7 linked regions of the Sus scrofa genome follow. The protein of the gene in region 4 interacts with the protein of the main gene of each other region in a pairwise test. Links are inferred from orthologs where the notes say so. Each region holds a gene or a part of one and is shown on either strand. Other genes may lie near its edges. The genes, in order: EXOC7, MAP1LC3A, IFT20, KXD1, TCEA2, C8H4orf46 and LRRC45.

Region 1 (3,500 bases), on a different chromosome or scaffold from region 4:
AAAACAGCACTGAAAACAGACATGCGCAGCTGCCCTGATAACCAGATGGGCCGGGGCCGGGAAGGCAGCCCTGAGTGGGATCTGGTCCCTTTTCCCTGGAGACGCCCAGGTCCTCCACCGCAGCTCTGAACACGGGGAGCCTGCTGGGGTCCTGGCAGCTCCCCAAAGGACTGAGGGAGAGGGGACGGCGTCTGGAGCGGCTGTTTGTGCCAACCACAATTAGTTACTCATGAGCCAGTGTGCGGCTCCAGCCCGGCACCTGTCTCGCTGTGTTCTCCTCCTTCAGCAAGTAGTCCTGCTAATGAGCGATTCAGATTCCCGCCCCACAACCAACTAGGACCAGATGGGCCCGCCGGGCCATCAGGAGCCTCGCCAGCACACTGGCATGTATGTGGGTCGGGGACGCTGATCTGGCAGCCGCTAAAGCCATCAGGCGCCCAGTTACCACGGATGTCGCTGAGGCTGGTGTCTCGTTACCCCCGAGGCCACCCTGCCCCTCTCCTCAAGAGCTGGGGGCCTGCCTCTAGCTCCCAACATCGGACCTGAGCCCCAAGGTTCCGGACAACCCTTGAAACCCCAAAGAAACCAGAGGGACGCTCACAGCCGGCGTTTTCCTTCTAGGGCTACAGGGCTGGGATGGATGAGGTCCACTGGGAGCCCAAAGATCAGATCTCTGGTCCCTGCATGGCCAGCAGCATCCTGCATGTGGCCTGGGTTCCAGGCCTCCAGGGGTCCCAGAGGAGACAGAGGGGAAGAAAGCACAGCCCGGCCGGGGCCCAGCAGCCTCGTGGAAACAGCCGCAGCCCAATGCACGAGGCACAGGCACGAACCAGGCCTCGAGCAGGCAGCTGCGGCTGCCCTGGCTGGCTTGTAGAGTCCCTGACCGTGGCAGGTTCTCCGAGGGAGCAGCCAGGAGAGCCAAGCTGGAGGGGAAGGCTGTGCACTTTCTGCTGGGCTGCCCGGCCTCTGGACCTCGACGCTGTGCCTCTGCGGGCAGCCTCTGCCATTTCTCTAAGCCCTGAACAAAGCGCTGGGGAGGAGCAGATGCTCGGGCCACTGTGAGCAGATCTCCTGCTCTCTGAGAGGCCGGGCAGCTCGGGAAAACACTGTCCCAAGGGACGGGTCCCAGAGCAGCTGGACGGGGTGGGCGAAAGTGGGAGCAGCCCCAGGGCTCGCTGGCTCTCTCTCCTGGTGCCTGCAGCCCCTCCGCTGGAACCCCCACCCCGGCCTCTCGAAGGCAACCCCTCTCAGCAGCCAGAACAGCCAGGCTTGTCAAGCCGAAGCTGACACACAGGGACACTGTCACCTGGAGCAGAGACTACAGGGGACAGGATGATGGGAAGAAGGACAGACAGTGAGCTGCTCGCCCAGGCCAACCAACAAGCCACAGCCCAGGCCTCTTCCACCTCAATGCCCCTCCCTCAACTCTCCCACCGCAAGGCACCAACTTCTTGCGGAGCCCAAAAGCCAGGTGAGGGTCTTTGGAGAGGATGGCCTGGGATGGTTTTCTTTCTGGACTGACTGTAAAAGCATAAACGTTCCTGTATCTACTTTTTTTTTGCCATGGCTGAGGCATGTGGAAATTCCCGGGCCAGGGATCGAACCTGCGCCACAATAGTAACCAGAGCCACAGCAGTGACAACACCAGATCCTTAACCCTTTGAGCCACCAGGGAACTCCTCTGCTCTCCACTTCTTAGCTACTCATCACTTCAGGCCACTCTGGCTTTCTGGGAGGTGAAGGCTGCAGTGCCTGCCCCTCGCCCTGCACCCCTGACACCCTGCCCCAATCTCACAGCTGGGTGGCAGCAGCATGCCTGGCCTCCCAACAGGACACTAGAGGGAGAGGACGGGGGCCCAATAAGTGGCTCTGCTCCGGCACCCCTGTCACCCCACGTCTCCGTGCTGTGACCCTCCACTCCAAGGACACTTATATAAGCCCTAGACTCGGCTGGGTGGAGAGAGGAGCTCTTTTGGGGGGCGGACACCTGCCTGCTGTCCTGTGCCCCTACAGTCAGGGGCTACCGTGAGGACAAACCCTAGGGCCCTGGCGCCGCCCACCCCGGGGTGGGTGGCCAAAGGCCACCCAGGTCCCACAGCCTTCTGGCGGGTTCTGAAGTGGGCCAGGGCGGGGGCTCACCTGGCCGCTTGACTGGCTTCTTGGTGGGTGTGTCTTTCCTCTTGTTGGGGATGGCGGGGGAGTAGGGAACCCCAGAGGAAGAACTGCTCTTCCGGAAGTGCTCCTTCAGGCCTTTGATGGAGCGGTCCAGCTGGCTCGAGCGGATCTGGTAGTAGACGTTCATGAAATCTGCGGACAGACGGGTGACAGCTGGGTCCCTGCCTCCGCCAGACCCCGGGGCCCCCCTCCCCCGCCAGAGGCAGCTCCAGAGGGCAGCAGCAGGCCCGCTCTTTCCACTTGCAGACCCTTTCCCAGCAGCCTCGTGGCCTCGTCCTGCATCTGGAAAAGCCTTAAAAGGGAAGACATTTCCCCGCAGAACCAATAATTCGTTGTAAGTTCTGAAGGTGAGGGGTTTTTTTTCTTTTAGAATTTTTTTTTATTATAGTTGATCTACAACGTTCTGTCAATTTCTGCTGGGCAGGTAAGTTTTTGAGATTTTAAGAAAATAGAAAATTAGCAGCCGGATTCAACTTGGTAATGTATTCTTTTTTATCTTGTTCAGCCACACCCACGGCACATGGAGGTTTCTGGGCCAGGGATCAAATCTGAGTTGCAGCTTCGAACTATGCCATCGCTGTGGCAACGCTGGGTCCTTAACCACTGCGCTTGCCGGGGATTGAACCTGCGCCACCACTGGATCCTTAATCTACTGTGCCACAGCGGGCACTCCTCGACTTGGTAAATTTATAGGTGGTAAAGAGACAACGAATGTCACTGAGTGAAAAAACACACCATCTCTTTAGCCATGAACGAAGTGCAAATTTAAAAAAACTAGAGGACCGTGGCAGCCCTGTTAAATAGCTAAGATAAGCAAAATTAATGAAGAAGAAATAACTGCAGGGTTGTCAACAGGTCAGCAGACTGGTCCCATCTACCTGGAGAGGAACTCGAGACGGCAAGAAGGTTACAGATCTGTTCAGACAGTTCTACCTGATAACTGTACCTTTGAGAAAATACCCCCAAAGAACTCCCTAAATAAGAAGAGCAATGGGGGTTCCCATCATGGCAAAGAGGAAAGGAATCTGACTAGGAACCATGAGGTTGCAGGTTCGATCCCCCCTGGCCTCGCTCAGAGGGTTAAGGATCCGGCATTGCCATCAGCTGTGGTGTAGGTCACAGATGTGGCTTGGATCCTGCGTTGCTGCAGCTGTGGGGTAGACTGGCAACTGTAGCTCTGATTCAACCCCTAGCCTGGGAACCTCCATATGCCATGGGCGCAGCCCTAAAGAAAACTGGACAATCCAAAAATGCAAACGAGCCTGGAGAAGTATGGATGCTGTGGTACATTTCAGCAGGTCCCAACAAGTGTATCCCAAGGAACC
Region 2 (3,607 bases), on a different chromosome or scaffold from region 4:
CTGCACGGACCTCAGGGGGCGAAAGGCCCAGAAGCTGGGCCAAGCCCTCTAGCCAGCGTTGCCAGCAGGCAAGCCCTGGGGCAGATGAGGTTTGAGTCCAGGGTCATGAATATCTGGCACCAGTGAGGAGCCAAGGCTGGCAGCAAGGCCTGTGGGGCGGAGCCAGGAGTCTCCACCTGGCCCCCACTGTGTGGCTCTGCACACCAGGAGCCCCTCCCAAGCAGGAAAGGGGAAGAAGCAGGTGAGCAGGGTTTGTTAGGCTGTGGCTACTTAATAAATGTTTCTTTTGTTATGAAAACGTCTACCTGGAACCATGCTGCCCTCGTGGAAGAGGTGGGCTTGGCCTCTAGTACCCCCACGATGCACTATACACAGGCGTGGGTTTCCTGAATGAGCCCTGAGTCCACAGCACACAAGTCTGTGCACCAGTGAGAGGACAACGGTGGGGGCAGCCCCACCCACAGCCCTCCCCACTCCCCAAGCAGCTGGAGGCAAAGGGCCAGGCAGGCCTGAGCAATCTTTATTCTGCAAAGGGACAATGACCACAGAGCCATACACCATGTCAAGACCAGGTGAGCCAGGACCCAGTCCTTCAGGGGTGGGCAGATCCAGGCATGGGCAGCGCCTCAGGTTGGGGAGGGACAGGTGGGCAGACAGGCAGGGGTCTAAAAAAAAGACAAACCACACAGGGCAGGGGTGCTGGGGGCTGCTTCCCACTCTTCCCCCTCCCAGCCAGCACCCGGAGGGGCAACCCTAATATGACTGGGCCAGAATCCATCCAGGGGCAGAGTAGGGGTGATAGGTGCCCTCTGGCTGGGTGGCAGCATCCCTGTCCAACCCACCAGGGGCAGGGGCAGAGACAGCTTAGTTCCAGTGCCAGGAGCTCCCTGGGCAGAGCCTGACAGGGCCCCCGACTCCCAGCCAACACCCCCTACTGCTGGCTCAGAAGCCGAAGGTTTCCTGGGAGGCGTAGACCATGTAGAGGAAGCCATCCTCATCCTTCTCCTGCTCATAGATGTCCGCGATGGGCGTGGACACGCTCACCATGCTGTGCTGGTTCACCAGCAGGAAGAAGGCCTGCGTGGGGTTCAGCTGCAGGCGGCGCCTGAGGTGGGCGGGAGGGCAAGCCAAACGTGAGGGGCCTGGCCGCTGGGTGAGTGTAGCCCTCACCCCCTACCCACCCTGACTTTGATTCTCCCCCTCACACCCATCCCAGCCCCTTCTAGAAGCTCTCACCTCTGACAAGATACTGATCCCAGGCCTGACCTTGACCGTTCCCAACCTCCCCAGAAGAGGGCTTCGGCACCCCGTCCCATGTCCCACCCCCACCCCTTCCTTCTCAGAAGGACCCAGACCAATGCCTGATCCCAGCAGGACCCAAGTCCCCCTCCTGACAGCTGCTGCCAGCGCACCGGATGATCTTGACCAACTCGCTCATGTTGACATGGTCTGGGACCAGGAACTTGGTCTTGTCCAGGACTGGCAGCTGCTTCTCACCCTTGTAGCGCTCGATGATCACCTGGGAGTGAGGTGGGGCGGGGACGCGTGAGCGGGAGGCTGGACCTGGGGCCAGGGGACGGGGGCGGGGTATGCGGTAGGACTCACCGGGATCTTGCTAGGGTGCTGGTCGCGGATCTGCTGCACCTCCTTACGGCGGTCGGCTGCAGACAGCAGTCGGGGATGAGGCCAGCCGAGGTTCTCCTTGGGTTCCGCCCCACTAGTCCCCGAGGGGCGGCCCCCGACCCCGCCCCGCCCCCCGCCAAGCCCCAGGCGGGTGGAGGTAGGGCCAGGGCCGGGGCACAGCACTGGGATGGGAGGCGGAGGCCCGGGCCCAGGCCCTAGCCTGCTTCCCAGCCCAGGGGTCCAACCCGAGCTTGACGTCATGAAGCTGACGTCACCTGCGGCAGACAAGTAGATCTGCCAACACCCCCGACCCCCCCACGCCCCCACCCCTAGCGCTCGCAGATCGCCAGTCGGGCCTCACCGAAGCTCCGCCGCTGCTTGAAAGGCCGGTCTGAGGGCATCGCACAGGCCCGGCGGAGCGCGCAGGCCGGGGCTCCCGGTCGCGCGAGGCGGGGAGGTGGCTGTGGTTTGGGGGCTCCGGGGGCTCCGCGTCTCCCGCTCAAGGGCTCTGGGGCTCGCGCTGAGCCCAGCGGCGGCGGCTCGGGGAGGTAACTCGCCCGGGTGACGTCAGGTCATAACATTCCTTAAAGGGGAGGCCAGCGCGCCGTTCCCATTGGGCCGACGCAAAATCTGCCCGCCCGGGCCCGTGACATCACGGCGCAGGGAGCCTGCATTCCCGCCCCCACCCCCAACCCCACACTGCGAAGGAGGGGAGGCGCCCAGTGAGCGTCACAGTCCTGTGACGTCACGGCCTGTGCAGGGGCAGGCGAGGTGGGCTCCCCCAGGCCCAGGGTGAGGGGAGAATGGACGCCAGCAAGGCCAGGGAGCAGGCTGGCTGGTCTGGCGGTGGGGAGAGCTGGCCAGGCTGCGGCATAGCATCCTTCTGTTTCCACTGTAACCAAGGCGTCAGACAGCCCTCGCTCAGAGTCTTTTCTGTTCCAGGGACCGTATGAGGCATTGGGGATGACAACAGTGAACCAGAAGTCTTCATCCTGGAGCATATGGTTAGAGAAAGAAAAAGGTAGTGGTCATTGTGGGGGGTTGGGTGAGCATTAAAACATGAAGACAGCAAGACACTGAAAAGGAACCTAGAGGTTTTAGAAGGAATTTCTAGAATTGAAAAACAGCTACTGAAATTCAGGTCTCAGAAGGACGAGGCAAGCAAGCCCTGTTAGATATAGCAAAAAAGAAAATCACTGAAGTGGATGAGAGAGCAGAAGCAATTACCTGGAAAACAAACCATGTTTACATGGTATAAAATAAGTGACAGAAATGGCAAAGTGAGAATTCACAGGTCTAATTAGCATTCCAGAAGGAGAGAAAAGACCGTGAAGCTCTGGAGAAAAACTTCCAAAATTGATTAAAAACCAGGATCCTCATATAACATCCAGAACAGAATAAATAAAAACTCATCTAGACACTCTGTAGTGAATTTGCCCAACTCTAAGGAGAAGAAATTAGAAAAATGGTAAGCTACTAAGCTGGTAAAATGGGAAGTGGATCTAAACAAACACCTGCTGTGGAACAAGAATGGTGCTGATGAGTCTGGAGCATAGCACAGGAGCATGGCACATGTAGGACTGGGGAGGGGGGTCAGAGGTCAAGTGTTTTAAGAAGCTTGATTTATTGGAGAGGAAGAGGATAAAGCTAACTGATAATTACCTGGCTTTGTATAGTCAAGTATGTATTTCAAACACTTCAGAGGGATCACTCAAAGAATAGAAAGTATATGTCAATGCATAAAAGAGAAAAGTTTAGTAAAGGGTATTAAAAAAATGTAATAGATAGAAAAAGAGAAAAGGGAAAGCAAAGTGAAAAGAATGGTATATAAATGGTACAAAACCAGAGGTATTAAATGTTTTACATTCACCTGTTAAAACAGATGAACAAATTGGCCAAGAAAAATAAAATGCAGCTCTGCTGTTTACAAGAGGACATTTAAAACCTAAGGAAATCAAAAGTAAAAAGATGGGAAAAAGTATAT
Region 3 (2,299 bases), on a different chromosome or scaffold from region 4:
CATTTATACAGAAGTGTGTATATGCTACTCTCATCAAGAATTTTTTTGAGGTATAAATAACATATTAGTTTCAGGTGTACAACATAATGTGATGTTTGTATAGGAATTGTTATTTAAAATCTTGTTTTAATTATAGAACGCCTCCCCCAAAAGTCAAGCGTGCAGAAGGATGAGAGGCTAGTGAGCCAGGGTTCCAGGACAAGATTAGACAAAACATGCTGATCTTACCTTCATCTTCTCATTTTCTGCTTCTTTTGCAAGTTGATCAACAAGCTCAATTAAACCACCAACTATTTTCTGAAACTGGCCGATTTCTTTGAGAGAAAGAACAAAAAAGTGTTTTATCTTCTCAGCATCACCACTCTCCCTCAGCATTCCACTGGTGTAGGAAGGCAGGGCTAATTGTCCCTTCTAATTTGTCAAAAAAAGTTTGATATCTGCCACCCTTGGTCTGAACCTAGAGAAGGGTGGCTAGGTTCCCAGAGCTGGACTGGGACATACTTGGATCTTGAGTCCCCACTGGCTCAGGACATGAACGCTGCCTCTAGACAAACCACAGATCAGACACCAGATCTCAGTTAACAGTCGGGTGGGGGCTTTCCTTCTGTGACAAGAACTATTAAAAAACTCAAAGCATTTAAGGACATAATCACCCATTTGCCTTTTTTCAAAGTCCCTGGGTGTGGTGGAACCCCATGTTATTTAAGAATAAACTAAGGCCCAGAGGGTAGAACAACATGAAGCTATGAGAAGACTGGCCAGAGAACCCAAGCTACCTTCACCAGTCAAGCTCTCTGTATAGCCTATGGAGCCCCTGGGAGGCTCAGAAATCCCTGCCTAGCTCTGCTCCATATTCACTGCTACTGCATGTGCCTGGCTGCTGGGACAGGAGCCATTCTGGCTATCTCAAGCTAAAAAAAAAAAAGACTTCATTGAGTCTGTTGAACTGCCTTTAGAAACTCAGTTAATCAACTTTTACTCCAAATAATGGCAAGTCTGCCACCAAGAACACTATTTCTCCCAAGAAATCAAATCATAACTCCATTTCCCACCCCTAAGACACAGTTCTGAAGTTTTAAGGTTCTTGAGCTGGCAGATCTAAACAAACACCCTCCTCTCCCCATGGCAGTGTTTATTTTGATTGGTGCTCTGAGATTGCAGGAGAGCAGAAGAGGGCAGGCAGCCAAGGTGGGTAGAATATGGGATTCATAAAGGCCAGGGCCAAGAGCTGCAGTCAGGGGTGGGGGTGGGGCACAGTTGGAAGAGCTCCAAGCTAAAGGCACCGTGTCTCCCCACACGACACTCACTGTCGACAAAGTCCTTGCACTCTTCTTTGAGCTCTATGGTCTGCTGGGTAACCTCTGGGTCCAACACCCGCAGCTTGTTCAGTTCATCAAAGTGCAGCCCTGCTTCACCCAGGATATCCTTGGCCATAGCTGTAAAGAAACCAGCCCCAATCCCGATCACTTCCCAGCCACCCAAGGAAATGCCTGCTTCTAGCCCAGCCCCCAGTCCTGGCCCCGGACACCAGAGTGAGAAACCCAGAGGCTCCAAAGGCTTCCCCTTCCCTCTGCCTCCGCCTCTCTGAGTCTCACCTGTTTCCCTTCCGGCTTCCCTAGAGAAGTTCTGCTCTGAAGGGGTGACAGTAGCAGCCAGGAGGAGGTATGTCATAGGAGCAAGGGTCAGGAAAGAATAAAGTCCGGTTGCTTGTCACAGGCATCGTTCACTGAACACACATTTCTTGAGTGCCTACTACATGCCAACACTGCTAGATGCTGGGGGCAAAGATGAGTGCAACATGGTGCCCGCCCTGGAGGAGCACAGAGTTTAGCTGGAGGAAGACAGACATATGCACTGAAAAATCATACCATGTTAAGTGCGTTTACAGGTACATCACTAAAGTGCTGGAGGAGACCAGAACAGCTAACTTGGGGTAAGGAAGTGATACATGAACTGAGTTGTGAGCCATAAGTATATTCATGTATCCCCAGTTATGAACCCAAAAGGACATAAAAGAGCTTTTCGAATGCAGTACTGGAACAATACGAAAAGCAAGTAAAAGAGAAAATCTGAGTGAATTAAAAATTAGGGGTAAAAAAAAATAAGAAGCCAGGTGTAAGAATTTTGCCCCCAATGTATGCCACAGGTACAATGGCCTGAACTGGGACCTAAAGTTGAGTCAGTCTTTTTCCAGCAGAAAACACAAAAAGGAATGACGTATCCACAAGAACATACCAAGTACGGAGGTCAAGGAAAGGCATTCCGAGCAGAGAAAACAGCCTGGACAAGAGCATGAAGC
Region 4 (4,187 bases):
GAGGGTTCGATCCCTGGCCTTGCTCAGTGGGTTAAGGATCCGGCATTGCCGTGAGCTGTGGTATGAGTTGTAGATGCGGCTTGGATCTGACGTTGCTGTGGCTGTGGTGTAGGCTGGCAGCTGTAGCTCTGATTGGACCCCTAGCCTGGGAACTTCCATATGCTGCAAGTGCAGCCCTAAAAAGCAAAAACAAACAAACAAAAAACAACCCAAAAAAACAAAAAACAAAACAAACTATTGGTTTCAAGTTCCCACTGTGGCACCACAGCATCAGCAGCGTTTTGGGAGCTCTGGGATGCAGGTTTGATAAGGATCCAGTGTTGCCAAAGCTATGGCTTGGGTTGCAACTGCAGATTGGATTTGATCCCTGTCTTGGGAACTCTGTATGCTGCAGGGCAGCTGAAAAAAAACCCACAAAACAAAAACTATTGATTCAACTATAAGAATATATAGAAATCCTGGAATCCTGGCCTTATAAATAAGAATCCTAGTCATCATTAACTATTCAATGAATGAAGGAAGGAGAGCATGGCAGTGATAATACAGTTTACCCCTAGTTTATTGAGGGCTTGCATTGGACCAAGTCTTTTGTTGCAAGAGATTTACCTGCATGATCTCATAAAGTTAAGCCACTTGCACCAGGCCCCCCCAACCAGGATTTGATAGAACTGGAATTTGAACTCAGATATGTCCAATTCCAGGGCTCTCAAAGAGACTTCCGTGTGCCCAGGAGCATGTGTATTTCTCCCAAGCTCTTGGTAACCTTAAGAGGCAGATCCTGTGTTCACCTGGACTCACAGTTAAACTGAGGACCAGAAAAATAAGATATATAATATGTAACACATATCACAAGGCCTCAATAACTAAGGATAATTAATCCGGAGTTCCCGTTGCGGCTCAGTGGTTAAAGAATCCGACTACGAACCACAAGGTTGCAGGTTTGATCCCCGGCATGGCTCAGTGGGTTAAGGATCCGGTGTAGCCATGAGCTGTGGTGTAGGTTGCAGATGTGGCTCGGATCCTGCTTGGCTGTGGCTGTGGCATAGGCTGGTAGCGGCAGCTCTGATTTGACCCCTAGCCTGGCCAGAAAAAGGTCACCAAAAGCAGAGCAGGGATTTTTGAAGCGGAATGAGTCTGATTCCCAGCCTGGAAAACATAACACGTGGGTCTGGGTCGACCACAGGCCACTAGAGCACTATATGCCCTTGTGGGAATGCCCGCCACTCTCGGATCTCTGTCTTACCACTTACAAAACTGGGCGTGTTTTCAGCCTCTCTCTCCACCCCTCCCCCCGCCCTTCCGGGCTGCCAAGGAGCAGGGTTTTGGAAACTACGCAGGCGCGCGAGGGACTGCTTGATTGGCTATTTGTTATGAACCCCCTCCCCGCAAACAGTAACTGCGTCTAAGTCCCACCTCTTCCTGCCGCGCCTCCACGCACGCAAGTCGGCCCCGGGCACGTTGCGGACACGCGCGCTAGCACTCATGGTACGTGATGACGTTGAGGCGGCACTGGCGCCATCCCGGAAGCGCGAGCAAGGCCGCCAGATGTGCAGGTGCTGCTGCCACCGACGCCGGGGCCGAGTTCAGGGTGGGGCTGGGGACGCAGGGGCTTCTGGGCAGCTGGGCCGGGCGGGAGCAGTCCCCGGGCTGTCGCGGGGTGGGGCGCGCCGCTGGCAACATCTGGACACCCTGCGCACAGGCCTCAGTTTCCCCGGCTGCGCAGTGGACGCGCGGACGGCGCCGTGGGCTGGATCCGGATCCGGGGCGCCAGAGTTGGGGGCGTCTATGTTGAAGCTGTGCTATATCACCCAGAACCGGGCTTTTCCCTGCTTAGGCCTCAGTTTCCCGGCTTCACAGGGGCGGGGCTTGAGGGGCTTTGTGAGCCCCGCCGCACTGGGGGGTTTTGCAGAGCTGGGGTAGCCCAGTTAAATTCTGTTAAATGATCTAGGTGGAGTCGCGGCGTCTCTCTGCCTAGGTGTGTGACCTTGGGCAACTGAGCCCACCTCTCTAGCCTTGGTTGCCTTCGGAAATGATAGTGTCAGTCTATCTGCCTCTCAGGGGTGATTAGGGATTAAATGAAGTGTTTTACAAGTGTTCGTTTGTATTCTTGGAAGCACTGGGGAGACCCTCATTAGAATAGTGATTCTTGGCCCAGTCCTAGGTTTTCTTAACACTCCCCTCGGAGAAACTGCCTGCTACCAGTCCACTGTCTCATCACTATTGGTTTCATTACCCAAAGATAGTGTTGTGAGATTCTGATTCTTTGTTATTCCTAGCTTCTGGATGAGAAGGACCCAGGAGGTGAGGTGACTTTCCTAAGGTCACGGAGCCTCCCTCTCTGCGTGTTTCCCCCATAAATATATTTGGAGCTGGGACTAGTGCCTATACTGGATCATTTTTCACCCTGTATATGGGTCAGACCGATACTTAGTCAGGGAAGGCTTCCCGTGAGAAGCAGCTGGTGAGGGAGTATGCATTGAATCTCTCAGCCCTCACATCTGGGAGCCAGAGACAGGAAAGAGCCTTACTTTGAAGCAGAACCATTTCCCGGGGTCCAAATGTTTTGCCCTCCAGGCCTAGTTGTGGGGTTCCTGCCACATGCCTCTGTCCTTTGAGAGCCCAAGTATCCTCTTTATATATGATCTTTGGAAATGTGGAGGCTGTGAGCGTCCATACCTGGCACACAGTCAGAACAAAATAAACATGGTGATTATTGGGGGCGGGGGAGGGGGGTTTCATCAGGTGTGGCAGTTCATCTCCAGAAGGCACATAAGGCTGCAGACCCTAGCTAGATTCAGAGCACAAATAGATATGTACTCTCAGCCTCTATAGCTTTGGGGAAAAAAAAAAAAAAAAAAAGTGTTAGTTGCTAACATTTGTAAATGAGGCGATTTCATAAGGGGAAAAATATATGTTTCAGTTTGTTTGTTTTGGCCATGCTGCAGCATCCGAAAGCTCCCAGGCCAGGGATCAAGCTGCTGCAATGACAACACAGATCCTTAACCTACTGTGCCACTAAAGAACTCAGCTTTTTTTCTGGAAAAAATCAGAAGTCTGGCAGGAATCAGCTGCTGTAAGAAGCAGTTGTTCTGTCACAGGTGGATACTGAACATCTGTCCAGAGTTTGTGGATCCTGTGGACCGTGGCATTTAAGTTGTGACTCAAGTTCACTGGCTATGTGACAGTGGCTCAGTTCTTCAGTGTCTGAGACTCAGTTTTGTCATATAGAAATAAGGATGATAACAATTGCCAGTGTTTGAAGTTGGTGTCCTGTTTAGCATACAGTAGGTAACAAAGAGGGGAGTAGAGTTAGCAGGCTCTGAAAGCCCTTCCTGATCCTGTGTGTGAATATAATCAATTGCATGTGGGCCTTTCTGTGGGCCATTAAATGTGCAGTCCCTAGAGCCAAGCTGTGTCAGGATTCTGGGTTTTTCCTGAACCCCCTCAGGAAGGTCAGTCCTGAAGCTGTGGCCCCCTCCTGCCCTGGCATGGTCCAGGAAGTCTTCACCTCCTGGGATGGCATCTGTGTGTCAAGGAAGCTGGAGGCTACCAAGCCATCTGAGTTGCTGGGACCCACAGCCTGGCTGCCAGTGCCCCAAGTTCTTGCCTTTAACTTCTTTTTTTTTTTTTTTTTTAAATTTTATTTTATTTTATTGTTATTATTATTTTTTTGTCTTTTTGCCATTTTTAGGGCCACTCCCGTGGCATATGGAGGTTCCCAGGCTAGGGGTGTAATCGGAGCTGTAGCCACTGGCCTACACCAGAGCCATAGCAACTCAGAATCCGAGCCATGTCTGCAACCTACACCACAGCTCACGGCAACGCCGGATTGTTAACCCACTGAGCAAGGCCAGGGATCGAACCCGCAACCTCATGGTTCCTAGTCGGATTCGTTAACCACTGAGCCATGAAGGGAACTCCCGTTCTTGCCTTTAACTTCTAATCCAGCTTCAGAGCTGGGTTTGAAAGGGTCCGTTTGCCTCCACCAAACTAATTTTCCCAATCCTTGGTGTGAACCAGGTTCTGGGCCAGGCTCTGGAGACAGAGCAGTGAGCACAAACAACATGCCTCTGCTCTGTTGCAGCTGACGTTGCTATAGGGGTGACAGGCAAATGGGTCGACTGATAACTTCAGAAAGAGATGTGCCAGTGCAGCAGTTAAAACAAGGTGAAGTGATAAGAGTGACT
Region 5 (2,476 bases), on a different chromosome or scaffold from region 4:
GCTCGGGCCTCTTGCGGCTGCAGAGAGACAGGCCCACTCGGGCCGCCAGCACCCCCCGTGAGACACCGGCCCCCAGAAAAGACAACGTCACAGCCACGAGACCCCCAGGCCCCACCTGCTCCAGCCGGACGGCCCTGCCCCTCTGCGGTCTGGCCCAGCACGTCCCTGGCGTCGGCTCAGGCGGCCAGAGGCAGCGCGGCTCCCAGAGCCAGGAGTGCTCCCAGCGGGGGTCCCCACCCCCAGGGGCCTGGAACACGGGGCCACGCTGCCCAGTGCAAACCGCCGGGTCAGGCAGAAGCAGACGGGGCTGGAGGCCGCCCCAAAGCAGGTACCACTCCGCAGGCAGCCCCACCCAGCACCCCCCGCGGGCTGTCTGGGCGTCCACCCAGCCCTCCCCTCACGCCCCTGCATCTCGTGACCCCGTGACCTCCACGGAAGTCAGTGGAAACAGGAGGCTTCCTGGAGAAAAACAACACGTGCAGGTGGGCGGATGAGCCACACTGTGAATCCAAAGCTCAGCTCTTCCTGGCCCCTGGCCCCTGCTGCCCAGTTGGGTCAAGGGCAAGGCAGCCTCTCAGCACAGTCCATCCCCACGACCACCGTCCCTGGGGCAGTGGGCCCAGCGGCCAGGGGCAGCCCCGGGAGGGCGGAGCCGGCCCACAGGCACCGGAGCCCAGACCGGGGCCTGGAGCCAGGGGATGTGATTAGTGGGTGCCCACAGGCCACTGAGGGTGTGGGTCAGCTCCCTGTACCTGGGCAGACACAGCCTCCCTCAGACATTCACGGCTGAAAAGACCCAGAGAAGTCCCTGGAGGGAAAGTGTCCAGCAAGAGGCTGATCGGGGAGTGGTGCAGTGGTTAACGAATCCGACTAGGAACCATGAGGTTGCGGGTTCGGTCCCTGCCCTTGCTCAGTGGGTTAACGATCTGGCGTTGCCATGAGCTGTGGTGTAGTTTGCAGACACGGCTCGGATCCTGCGTTGCTGTGGCTCTGGCGTAGGCCGGTGGCTACAACTCCGATTCGACCCCTAGCCTGGGAACCTCCATATGCTGTGGGAGCGGCCCAAGAAATAGCAAAAAGAAAAAAAAAAAAGAGGCTGACCGGGCTGGGCACAGCCCCCTGGGGAGGGGCCCTCCAAGGAGCTGAAAGGGCTGTGTCCTTACGGCCTCAGCCCCCCGCCTGGAACTCAGGACACCTGAAACCTAGCAACCTCGTCTGCCAAGAAAGTGGGGACGTGGGGGAGGGGTGCACCCGCCTTCCAGATGTGCTACCTGGGATCCTTGGCCTCAGAGGCCTCCTTGGAAGACGTGGGCAGAGGCCCGCCCCTCCTCCGCTCCCTGGCTTTGGCGTCTGAAGCATCTGCAGGTGCCAGGAAAGAAGGGAGGGCTGGCCAGGAGAAGGCAGACCCGGAGGGCCAGGGAGGGGAGCAGACCACCACCCAGGCACAGCCCCGGCCAGACCCCTGGCCCCAGCCCGAGGACCCTACCTCCAGCCCCAGCTTCCTGGGGGCCCGCTCTCCCCAAGCCAAGAACAGTCCCCAAAAGGCTCCCAAACCACTTTCCCACACACGCTCCTACGCAGCAGGCCACCTGTGAGGCGCATGTGGGGGCCCCATCCTGGCAGAGGGGCTGCCGCTCGCCAAGTGATCCCTGAGCACAGAGACCCCCCCGAGAGGTGGCCTCCACAGAGGCGTGTGAACTTGGACCAGAAGCGTCCCGCACGCCACCAGGGGAAACGTGCTGGTCCAGCACGCAGCCCGACAGGACTGGAGGAAAGCCCGGGACGCACAGCTGTTTCCCGGGGCTTCGGACCAAGCTGGGAGGGGCTCGGAAGGGAGGGGAAGCTCAGGGTCCAGGGTGGGCACTTCTGCACCCCAGGGCACCCCACTGTCCCCAGAAAGGGGCCACCCCTGGTTCCCTCTGAGTGGCTGTGGACCTTCTTCCTCCTCGCCCACTACCCTCTCCCCCAGGTGGGGACATTCCCCCGCGTGGCATCCCCCAGCTCCGCTGGGTCCCCCTGAGGGCTCAGCACTGCCTCCTCCCTCAACGGTCCCCTTGCTCCGCGTGGAACCCTCCCCTCCCAGCCCTGAGCCGGAGCCTCCTGGACCAGGCCTGCCCCCCACAACTCCTGGGGGCCACGGCTCAGGGACAGCATAGCCAGCGCCCTGCCCAAGGCTGACCTTGGGGTGCCCCTCGCCCCAACACTCAGCCCAGGCTGCCCGACCCGCACCCAGGAGCTTCTTCCAGGACTTGATGAGAGACTTGGCCAGTGTGACAACCTCCTCGTCCGAGCTTTGCTTCCGCAGGGCGTTGACAGACATGCCGACGCGGGTGGACTGCAAGGCAAGCGGCCGGCTGGGGGCGGGCAGACCTTCCCCAGTGACCCCAGCACCTCCCGCAGGGCAAGGCTGGGGACTCCGCCTGAGGATGACTGGGAGGGACAGTGTCAACGCTCGAACGCCCCCCCCATCTCACTG
Region 6 (4,137 bases), on a different chromosome or scaffold from region 4:
GACGCGGCTCGGATCTGGTGTTGCTGTGGCTGTGGTGTAGGCCGGTGGCTACAGCTCCGATTCGACCCCTAGTTTGGGAACCTCCATATGCCGCGGGAGCGGCCCAAGAAATGGCAAGACAAAAAAAAAAAAAAAGAAAGAATTTAGGATTATTACTTGTAAAGCTCCAAAAGTAATAATACACAGCCATAATTCTGATAAGGCACTTTTAAAAGAGCAACCAAACATATAACAACATTGTATACAAGAAATTTCTGTAAAATCAGTTAACCTTAGAAATAAATAGGGGAAAAAATGTGCATTCTTTCAAGTCAAGTTTCATTTTCTTTTTTGAAAATCCATCAGAGAAGGGCAAAAAAATTTGTATTTTAAAAAGATGTTACTAGTTAAAGTTCAAATCCCTGTTAAAAAAGAGAGCAATAATGTTAATGTTTTTCTCCAAGTTAATGAGGTTCTGACTCAAATATTTCTTCAAGAAAAATTTATAATCTTCATGCTAAAAACAGGGAGAAAACGCTGCTTTTAACTGTATTGTCACTGAACATTTAGTGATTATTGTATAACAATGTTCTAGGTGCTGAAAATACAGAATTAAATAAGACACAATAACTGGTTCTACGGAAATTAGCCAAATAGAGCTGAGTCAAACAGTGATAAACCTTAAAGTCATCTCCTTTGTTCCAAAAAAATGAGGCTCAACTTCAAACTCTGCCATGCTTGGTATCTTCTTGCAAATCAAACAAATGGTCTATCTAGTTTGTGACTGGTAACACTGTGGCATTATATTATCTACTGATTGAATTAACTTTCATAAAAGATTGTGTGAAAGTTTAGCAGACATTAAGTATTTAAAGATAAATACTAGTCAGCATCAAAAATAACATTCTATTTTCACAAAATGAAGAAAACCAAGCAAAATTTCATTTTCATTTCACAGAACTGCTGGATTATCCTATCCATATGGTACATCTGCAAATATCGTGAGAACACATGGACTATTACATGGCAAGTCAGTTGTCAGCCTTCAAGGAATCATAGCCTTCTCTCAAGAGGTCCCGCCATGTTTTAAGGAAACGTGCATTTTCTGTACATTTGAAGGCAAGCTCTTCCACTTGAGCTGATACTGCAGATGTGGCTTCGAGAAGTTTGGTTAAGGAAAATGCTGCCTGAAATTTAAAAAAAAAAAAAAAGTCAAACAATATAAGTTGTTTTTTTTTTAATTTTCACCTCATTTTACAAACCAGTCTGAAAATAACAGAACCTCAAATCTGATGCCTCAAATTTAAAGTTATCTTCTTTAAAAGTTAAAAAAAAAATCTTAGAACTAAAATACTGGCTCTTTCAGGGAACCAAAGAAATTCGTTAATATGAAGTAAGCTTTGAGGAAGTAAGATGTGCTAGAAAGATATCCATTATGCATGAGAAATGACCAGTCGATACTTTTTTATTTACAAATCACTAGTCTGATTTAGCTCAACAGGAGACTTGGATCCCTTGACACAAAGTATCAGAAGGAGCTGAAAGACTCCATAAATAACGCTTAATACATGGGTAACAAGGGCATGGCTCCACTATTTTTACCCATGAACGCTGTAGACTATGAAAATGTATAGTCCAAAGAAGAGATGCTCTCAGCTTACAAATAACATCAACAAAATCAAAACAGGTGCAGTAGACAATCATCCCTTGGTGGAAAACTCCTTGATCAAATGCTTTCTTCGCCCACTACATGAAATAGCACTGTTCCTGGATAACACATCAGCACTCCATCCTACAGGGTCACTTGGAAGGAGCGGTGGGCGGAGGCGGGGGAACGAGAGACAGAGACAGAGAGACAGAGACAGAGAGTGTGTGTGTGCTCATGCGCTCCAGTAGCTGGGCGCCTGGAAATTGGAGATTCAACAGAAACCATCCAGACTAGGCATGCCAAGTGCTCAGAGGGAGAGGTCTTTGAACCGTTAGTGAAAGGAATCTGCACCATGGGGTGGTGACTAACCCGTCCTAATTGGATCTAGCGCACAGGACGGTGGGACAGATAATATCTGTCAGCTGACTCTGGGCAGGTGGCCAACTAGGACAGCAGTCCTTAAGTCCCCGGGTAAGAAATCACAGCCTGACCCTCAGCACCCAAGGACAGCAAAGGCGAAGGTGGGGGCGAATGAGATCTGTGTGGTTTCGGGTTACAGCGCGTGTTGGAAACCAGATGGCCAGGCACAAAGAAAACCGGGCGGGGCGGGGCGGGTGGAGGGACACCCCAATTCCCAACGCCTCAACTGGTACACCACATGGGGGAAGGGGCCTTGGGCGGCGTCGGACCCCCACCCTTCCTCACCAGCCCCCCTAGCTGGGCGCGGACCCCGTCCCTCCGGCCCCTCCCGGCCCCGCAGGCCACACCCACGTCTCCGATCTGCAGCTCCACCTCCTCCAGGGGGTCCACTGTCCGGCCGCTGCTCCTGCTTGGAACCGGCCATCCCAAACTCCCCGGGACGCCTGGGGAAGATGCTGAAGATGAGTTTGAAGAGGGAGAGGAGGGAGGCGGCGGGGGAGGCGAAGAAACCAGCAGCTCCTCAGGGTCCTCCATGGAGCCGGGCTGGGCGGCGGGACCGGACTTTGACAGCCGAACCGACACCAACTGTCTTTCAACCGCTCGCGCCCAAAGTCCAGCGACCCCGCCTCCTCTAGTCTCTCGGCGGTGGACCGCGAAGCCCAGTCATTTTCTCCGGACAGCCAATCAGAAACCAGTTAATTCGCCTTGGGCGGCTCTTCACTCCTGCGCAAACCCCCAGTCGGGCAACCTGGACTGTTGAGCCGAAGACTACAACTCCTAGAGTTCCGCGCACCGCCCCGCCTCCGCTTCTTGGCGCCAAGCGCGTTGCACCCTGGGATTTGTAGTCTTCGCTGGTGTCCTCTGCTTGCCCCGGGTGGAAGGGTTCCCTACCCTCTCCGTCTTGGTCTGTGACCCAGAAGTCCTACGGGCAGTCATATCGCGCGTGGCGCAGGCGCACAGCAAGAAAGAGGCGGCAGTACGGTGAAGCCAGAGTGGCCGGCTGAGTAGGGAGGCTGACTCCGCCTGAGACTTCAGTTGTCCCGGCGGGGATGGCGCCCCCCGCGGCCTAGTGGTCCCGTGCCCGGGCGAGCCCCAGCCGGGCCTCCTCCCTCGCTGTACGCCGGGGTCCCGGCTGCCGAGAGCATGATGGTGCCGCTGGCCAAGCTGGCCAGCCCAGGTGAGGAGGGGTCTGCGGGCGCGGGGAGCAAAGTCGAGGGTCTACGAGGGGCGCGCGGGACCACCGCTGGGGGGTGGAACTAGTTCAGAGCAAAGGGCGCAGGGTCGCCGCTGGGTTCCTCCCCTGGGCTTGTCTCAATTGGAAGAGTTGACAACTAGGACATAGGTCATGAATGCAGTGAACTTGTCAACACGGCTCCTGAGCGGAATCTCTCCAAGTCCTGGTGCAGACTCTTATCCCAAGCTCAGGTAATGTCTGTTGCCTTGTTGCAAATGAGTAAATTAACATTTGCACAGATTTTTTTTCCTTGGTCCTCACCTTACTTGTGTATTTGCAGTCATCCTACCCCATTTTAAGAATTCGAAGTCTAGGAGTTCCCTTCGTGGCTCAGTGGTTAACGAATCCGACTAGGAACCATGAGGTTGTGGGTTCGATCCCTGGTCTTGCTCAGTGGGTTAAGGATCCGGCGTTGCCGTGAGCTGTGGTGTAGGTCACAGACGCGGCTGGGATCTGGCGTTGCTGTGGCTCTGGCGTAGGCCGGCGGCTTCAGCTCTGATTAGACCCCTAACCTGGGAACCTCCATATGCCGGGGTGCAGCCCTAAAATAGACAAAAAAGAAAAAAAAAAAAGAATTCGAAGTCTAATGTGGCACATCATCATTAACATGTGTATGCTGCCTGAGTCATCAGACTATCTGGAGCCAGGAATTTTTCTACGTTGTCTAAAATTAACTCTAGGGGCTTATGGTGTTCTGTTTGCCCCTAGAACCATCCTGATGACTTGGTAAAATACCTCATTACCTCCTCTTTTTTTTTAAAAAAAAAAAAAAAAGTAGGATGCAGTTGGGTGGTTTGGGGGATTTTTTTGGAGGGGGTGGTTTATTTAAAAACAAAAGGTTTAAAGTTCAAAAAGT
Region 7 (3,996 bases), on a different chromosome or scaffold from region 4:
GAGAGCTTGCAGCAGCCCGTACCTGCGGCAGCGTCGCAGCGGCCTCGCGCACCCTCCCAGAGTGAGCGCGCGAGCTTGGCGCCACCTGCTGGTCCCACCAAGAAAGCCCAGAAGGCCCTGCTGCCCCACTAGATCCCAGACTCCAGGGAAGAGCTGAAAGAGCCAGGCTGCCACCTGGGGAGCAGCTGCTGCACCGGCTTACCCTGACAACTAAAGGAGCCAGCACCAGCTGGGAGAGGGGGGTCCCCAAGCTTGCAAAGGGCAGCATGAGATCTGGGATTTGGTCAGCCTCTGTCTCTCTGTGTGGAGGACCACAACCCCCCACCCCGGCCCCGTGCCCCTCGCCTGGGACAGGCCTGCTCGTGGGTAATGACGGCAACCCCAGCTCTAGCCCGAGGCCTCAGGGCTAGGACTCCAGAGCTGCCCAGGATCCCAAGAAGGAGGCCCAGCCAGTGCTCCCCTCTGCAGCTATTACAGTGCAGGGAGGGCCCAGCCTCAGTGATTTCCCCTTTGACGCATTAACTCCTTCTAGGCCTGGGCAAAGTGGCCATCCAGGGTGAAGAGGGAGAACTCCCCCACTAGGGGCTGGCTGGACAAGGAAGTCCTCACCCAGGTACACAAAGGGCTGCTATCAAAAGCTCAGTGCTTCCTACCCTTAGCGCAGAGCAACAAAGCGAAACCCAGAGACCACTCACAGCCCGAAGGGTTTGGGAACCGAGCCTGCCGGCCTAGCGACCCACCCACTCGGGCCACGGAGGACTAAGTACGCGCGGGATGGGGGTCGTGGCCGATTCTGGGAATGGGCCGACCCTAGAAGGTACCGGCCGGCAGGACGGGGACTGGTTTAGGGCCCACACGTGGCTCACGCAGGGGGCCGGGCCCCGAGCTCGCTCCCAGTGCCTTCCCCGAGCCCCCTAGCCCGTCCCGCTCCGCCCCGCCTCGCAGTCCCTCGCTCACTTTCCGGAAGCCCGTGCCGCTTTCCTCCATGACCGCCGCCAAGTTGTGCGTTCTCAGAAGCCCGGCCCCCGCGCCTCCAGCCAATCGACCCGTAGCGCGCCTTCTGAAGCCTCGCCCCTGCGCCCCCCAGCCAATGGGGTCGCCGCGCGCGCCCACTCCCTCGCCCTAATTGGTCCTAAGCGAGCGCACCGCCCCCGCAAAGCGTCCTGGGAGTCGTAGTTTCCGCCAGGCCTTCCCGGCGCGCCCCGCTCTTCCTGGATACTGAGGGGCACCGCGGCCGCCAGCCCCCGCGGCAAGCGGGCGGGGTTCCTAGGCGCGAGGCCTGGGGCGGGGGCGGGAGCGGCCCCTCCGCTAGACGCCCCGCCCCCGAGAGCATCCTCCTCCCGGATCCTGGGCTTCGGCGACCCCGAGGATCACCCGCCCCCGCCCTCTCGGGGCCTCCCGCCAGTTGAAGCAACTGTTTGCTCCTCATTCCGCGGTTGCTGAGGGCGTAGGGTCTGTGTGCGCCCCCCTGCGCTGTCGGGGGCTCTCCGTAGACCCCAGGGGGAGGCTTACAGCCAGCAAGGACTGGGGCAGGGGAGCAGGAGCCAGCAGCCCACTTCCCCAGCCTCCCCGCCTCCGGGTGAGGCCTGTCTGGGAGCTTTGCCGGAAGCCCCGCCAGCCCTTCCCTCATGGAGGAGCTCCAGCGCGCCTACAGCCGGCTGTGCAAGGAGAGCGGGGCCGAGCCCCAGGAGGCCGTCCTGCAGCGGCTGCACGGGCTGCTGCGGGGCCGGCTGGACCTGGCCACACAGAGCTTGACGCTGGACACCTGCAGGGCTCTGGGCAAGCTGCTGCAGAAGGAGGCGCTGCTGACGGAACTGGTCCTGAGTGACTGCATGCTGAGCGACGAGGGTGGGCACCGACGGACCGCAGTGGCCACAGCAGCCCTTGCAGCTTCGAAGGGCGGGCAGGGGTCGGCGTCCCTGGGCTTGTTTGCCCTGCTGCTCAGCACCCCCAGGCCTTGGTGCTCGGTGGCCCGCCTGTCCTCTTCTTTGGGAGTCTCCCCTTCACTGTAGTCAAAGCAAGCAGCAGCATTCACTCGGGAAACTGGGGAGCATCTCTCTGTAGCGAAAAAACCTTAGCGCCCCCAGCCAGCTGGCTTAGGAGAGTCCGCATGGGGGGGGGTCTGCAGCCGGACTCCGCACCTGCCGCGTGTCAAACCTGACACAGGAGTGGGGCGACTGACTCATTTTTGGCATGAACCCTGGCTGGTCGGGGACCCTCGTCCCTTCCCTCCGTCTGGGGAGCTGCCCCTGATGGAGCCACCAGGAGCGGAGAGTGACTGTCCTGGTCCCTTACAGGAGCCACGATGTTGCTGCAGGGACTGTGTGTCAACACCGTGGTGCGGTTTCTGGATCTAAAGGTGGGTGGATCTGCGCTTAGGGCCCTGCCCCCCGGCCAGGGAGAGTAGCGAAGCTGCAGTTGTCCTGGGGCCCGGGGATCCCGATGGCGGCGAGAGATGGTGTCTGTACGCACTGACTCTCAGTCTCCTGCACGTGTGCCAGTGTTCTGAGGGCAGGAATGTGAGTTCCAGAGCATTCCACAGCAAACCAAGAGCCTGCATCAGGGGGCCACTGTGGTCAGGGAAAGCAGAATCTGAAAGGATTCCGCGCTTCCCGCCCATAGCTCGCTGTGACCTCACCCACTTCCCAATGAGGGTGTTCGGAGCCCGGCCCAGGACTCCAGGAATGACGGGCTGGCCTCTTCCTGTTCTAGGGCAATAACCTTCGCGCTGCAGGAGCTGAGGCTCTGGGAAAACTCCTCCGACAGAACAAGTCCATCCAGAGGTGAGGTGGCGGTCCCAGCCTTTGCTCCTTCTCAGCATGGCTCTGGGTTGGCTCCAGAGGACGCGGTGCACTCCTGCGCGCCAGTCTTCCTGGGCTGCGCATGGACGGGGGTGAGTGTTTCTCGAGGCTCCAGCCTCTTTACCACAGCCTCTCGAGCCTGGTGCAGCCCATGGAAGCTGGAGGCCCCATGAGGCCACACACCCCCCGTGCACCCTTCCTGCAGCCTCACCCTGGAGTGGAACAGCCTGGGCCCGTGGGAAGACGCCTTCGCCACTTTCTGCGGCGCCCTGGCAGCCAACAGTACCCTGCGGCAGCTGGACCTCCGCAACAACCAGATCAGCCACAAGGGCGCCGAGGAGCTGGCCCTGGCCCTGAGGAGCAACGCCAGCCTCCAGCAGCTGGGTGAGGCCGCCTGGCTCCGGGCCCTGGTCCTCAGACCAGGCTGGGCGGTCTTGGTCGGGGCAAGGGCTTCATCTCTGGCCCCTCAGCCCTGGCTGCTTCCTTTGGTCTGTCCCAGAGCGGAGGGTGTGGGGAACGAGGGCCCCCGACACAGGCAGTGCTGCCCCGCAAAGGAAGTGTCTCAGGCTGCGCCAGCCCCCAGCCCCACCCTGTGCGACCCCAGGTTTCTTTCCAGACCTGCGCTGGAATCACATCGGCCTCCTGGGGGGCCGGGCCCTGGCGAACTGTCTCCCCAGCAACAGAACCCTGTGGAGGCTGGAGCTGGCTGGGAACAGCATCCCCAGCGACGTCCTCAGAGCCGTGGGTACGGGTGGCTTGCACTCCGGAGCAGGGCACAGCGCTGGCCCCTGTGACGGAGGCCTGGCTACCAGGGGAGGAGCTGCTCTGGGCAGCACGAGGAGACACTTCATGGTGGGAGCCGACTGCCCGGTGCTGCTCCTCACCCCCTCGTGCCACAGTCCCCTTCCATCACGACCCCACCTCTGGCCCCAGGGCGGCTGAGCGCCCTGCCACTCCCCTCAGCTCCCTGCCCTGCCTGCTGTGGCGCAAGCTCTTGTAATTGCTCTGCCCCCAGAGCTGCTCTTGGCTGATCGTTTTGTAAACGCTGCCTTGGCTTTTAAGAGCCCACACGCACCTCTTAAAAGCCAAGCAGCGGCCTCTGACTTCTGGGGCAGGGACTAAACACCTACCTCTGGTGGCAGCGGAACAGCCTGCCCCTCCTCCCCCTGCGGGCCTCCCACCCCCACCCCCTTGG

What was found.
Region 1: the proteins of KXD1 (region 4) and EXOC7 interact in binary tests that used the Homo sapiens proteins (3 or more experiments, as listed by UniProt). The two-hybrid records come from large-scale screens. The link is inferred for Sus scrofa from reciprocal best matches to the Homo sapiens genes KXD1 and EXOC7.
Region 2: the proteins of KXD1 (region 4) and MAP1LC3A interact in binary tests that used the Homo sapiens proteins (3 or more experiments, as listed by UniProt). The two-hybrid records come from large-scale screens. The link is inferred for Sus scrofa from reciprocal best matches to the Homo sapiens genes KXD1 and MAP1LC3A.
Region 3: the proteins of KXD1 (region 4) and IFT20 interact in binary tests that used the Homo sapiens proteins (3 or more experiments, as listed by UniProt). The two-hybrid records come from large-scale screens. The link is inferred for Sus scrofa from reciprocal best matches to the Homo sapiens genes KXD1 and IFT20.
Region 5: the proteins of KXD1 (region 4) and TCEA2 interact in binary tests that used the Homo sapiens proteins (3 or more experiments, as listed by UniProt). The two-hybrid records come from large-scale screens. The link is inferred for Sus scrofa from reciprocal best matches to the Homo sapiens genes KXD1 and TCEA2.
Region 6: the proteins of KXD1 (region 4) and C8H4orf46 interact in binary tests that used the Homo sapiens proteins (3 or more experiments, as listed by UniProt). The two-hybrid records come from large-scale screens. The link is inferred for Sus scrofa from reciprocal best matches to the Homo sapiens genes KXD1 and C4orf46.
Region 7: the proteins of KXD1 (region 4) and LRRC45 interact in binary tests that used the Homo sapiens proteins (3 or more experiments, as listed by UniProt). The two-hybrid records come from large-scale screens. The link is inferred for Sus scrofa from reciprocal best matches to the Homo sapiens genes KXD1 and LRRC45.

Annotation. Positions count from the first base shown.
Region 1 is NC_010454.4:5,341,495-5,344,994, reverse strand, and holds part of EXOC7 (exocyst complex component 7), read right to left. Parts: intron 2,308-3,500; coding exon 2,140-2,307; intron 1-2,139. UniProt on the Homo sapiens protein: Component of the exocyst complex involved in the docking of exocytic vesicles with fusion sites on the plasma membrane.
Region 2 is NC_010459.5:37,956,399-37,960,005, reverse strand, and holds MAP1LC3A (microtubule-associated proteins 1A/1B light chain 3A), read right to left. Parts: upstream 2,177-3,607; 5' UTR 2,025-2,176; coding exon 1,985-2,024; intron 1,662-1,984; coding exon 1,606-1,661; intron 1,520-1,605; coding exon 1,413-1,519; intron 1,106-1,412; coding exon 943-1,105; 3' UTR 501-942; downstream 1-500. UniProt on the Homo sapiens protein: Ubiquitin-like modifier involved in formation of autophagosomal vacuoles (autophagosomes). While LC3s are involved in elongation of the phagophore membrane, the GABARAP/GATE-16 subfamily is essential for a later stage in autophagosome maturation.
Region 3 is NC_010454.4:44,611,385-44,613,683, forward strand, and holds part of IFT20 (intraflagellar transport protein 20 homolog), read right to left. Parts: 5' UTR 2,236-2,299; intron 1,832-2,235; 5' UTR 1,672-1,831; coding exon 1,596-1,671; intron 1,437-1,595; coding exon 1,308-1,436; intron 315-1,307; coding exon 229-314; intron 1-228. UniProt on the Homo sapiens protein: Part of intraflagellar transport (IFT) particles involved in ciliary process assembly. May play a role in the trafficking of ciliary membrane proteins from the Golgi complex to the cilium.
Region 4 is NC_010444.4:59,248,094-59,252,280, reverse strand, and holds the start of KXD1 (kxDL motif-containing protein 1), read left to right. Parts: upstream 1-1,387; 5' UTR 1,388-1,482; coding exon 1,483-1,485; exon of another isoform or gene 1,486-1,588; intron 1,589-4,187.
Region 5 is NC_010459.5:62,884,339-62,886,814, reverse strand, and holds part of TCEA2 (transcription elongation factor A protein 2), read right to left. Parts: intron 2,336-2,476; coding exon 2,230-2,335; intron 1,360-2,229; coding exon 1,272-1,359; intron 18-1,271; coding exon 1-17. UniProt on the Homo sapiens protein: Necessary for efficient RNA polymerase II transcription elongation past template-encoded arresting sites.
Region 6 is NC_010450.4:47,605,750-47,609,886, forward strand, and holds the start of C8H4orf46 (renal cancer differentiation gene 1 protein), read right to left. Parts: upstream 2,801-4,137; 5' UTR 2,582-2,800; coding exon 2,399-2,581; intron 1,167-2,398; coding exon 1,011-1,166; 3' UTR 1-1,010. Other genes in the region: ETFDH (electron transfer flavoprotein-ubiquinone oxidoreductase, mitochondrial), read left to right, coding at 3,191-3,224.
Region 7 is NC_010454.4:988,712-992,707, reverse strand, and holds the start of LRRC45 (leucine-rich repeat-containing protein 45), read left to right. Parts: upstream 1-1,196; 5' UTR 1,197-1,628; coding exon 1,629-1,848; intron 1,849-2,297; coding exon 2,298-2,359; intron 2,360-2,712; coding exon 2,713-2,783; exon of another isoform or gene 2,784-2,819; coding exon of another isoform or gene 2,820-2,893; intron 2,894-3,006; coding exon 3,007-3,185; intron 3,186-3,405; coding exon 3,406-3,546; intron 3,547-3,996. Other genes in the region: CENPX (centromere protein X), read right to left, coding at 958-987. UniProt on the Homo sapiens protein: Component of the proteinaceous fiber-like linker between two centrioles, required for centrosome cohesion.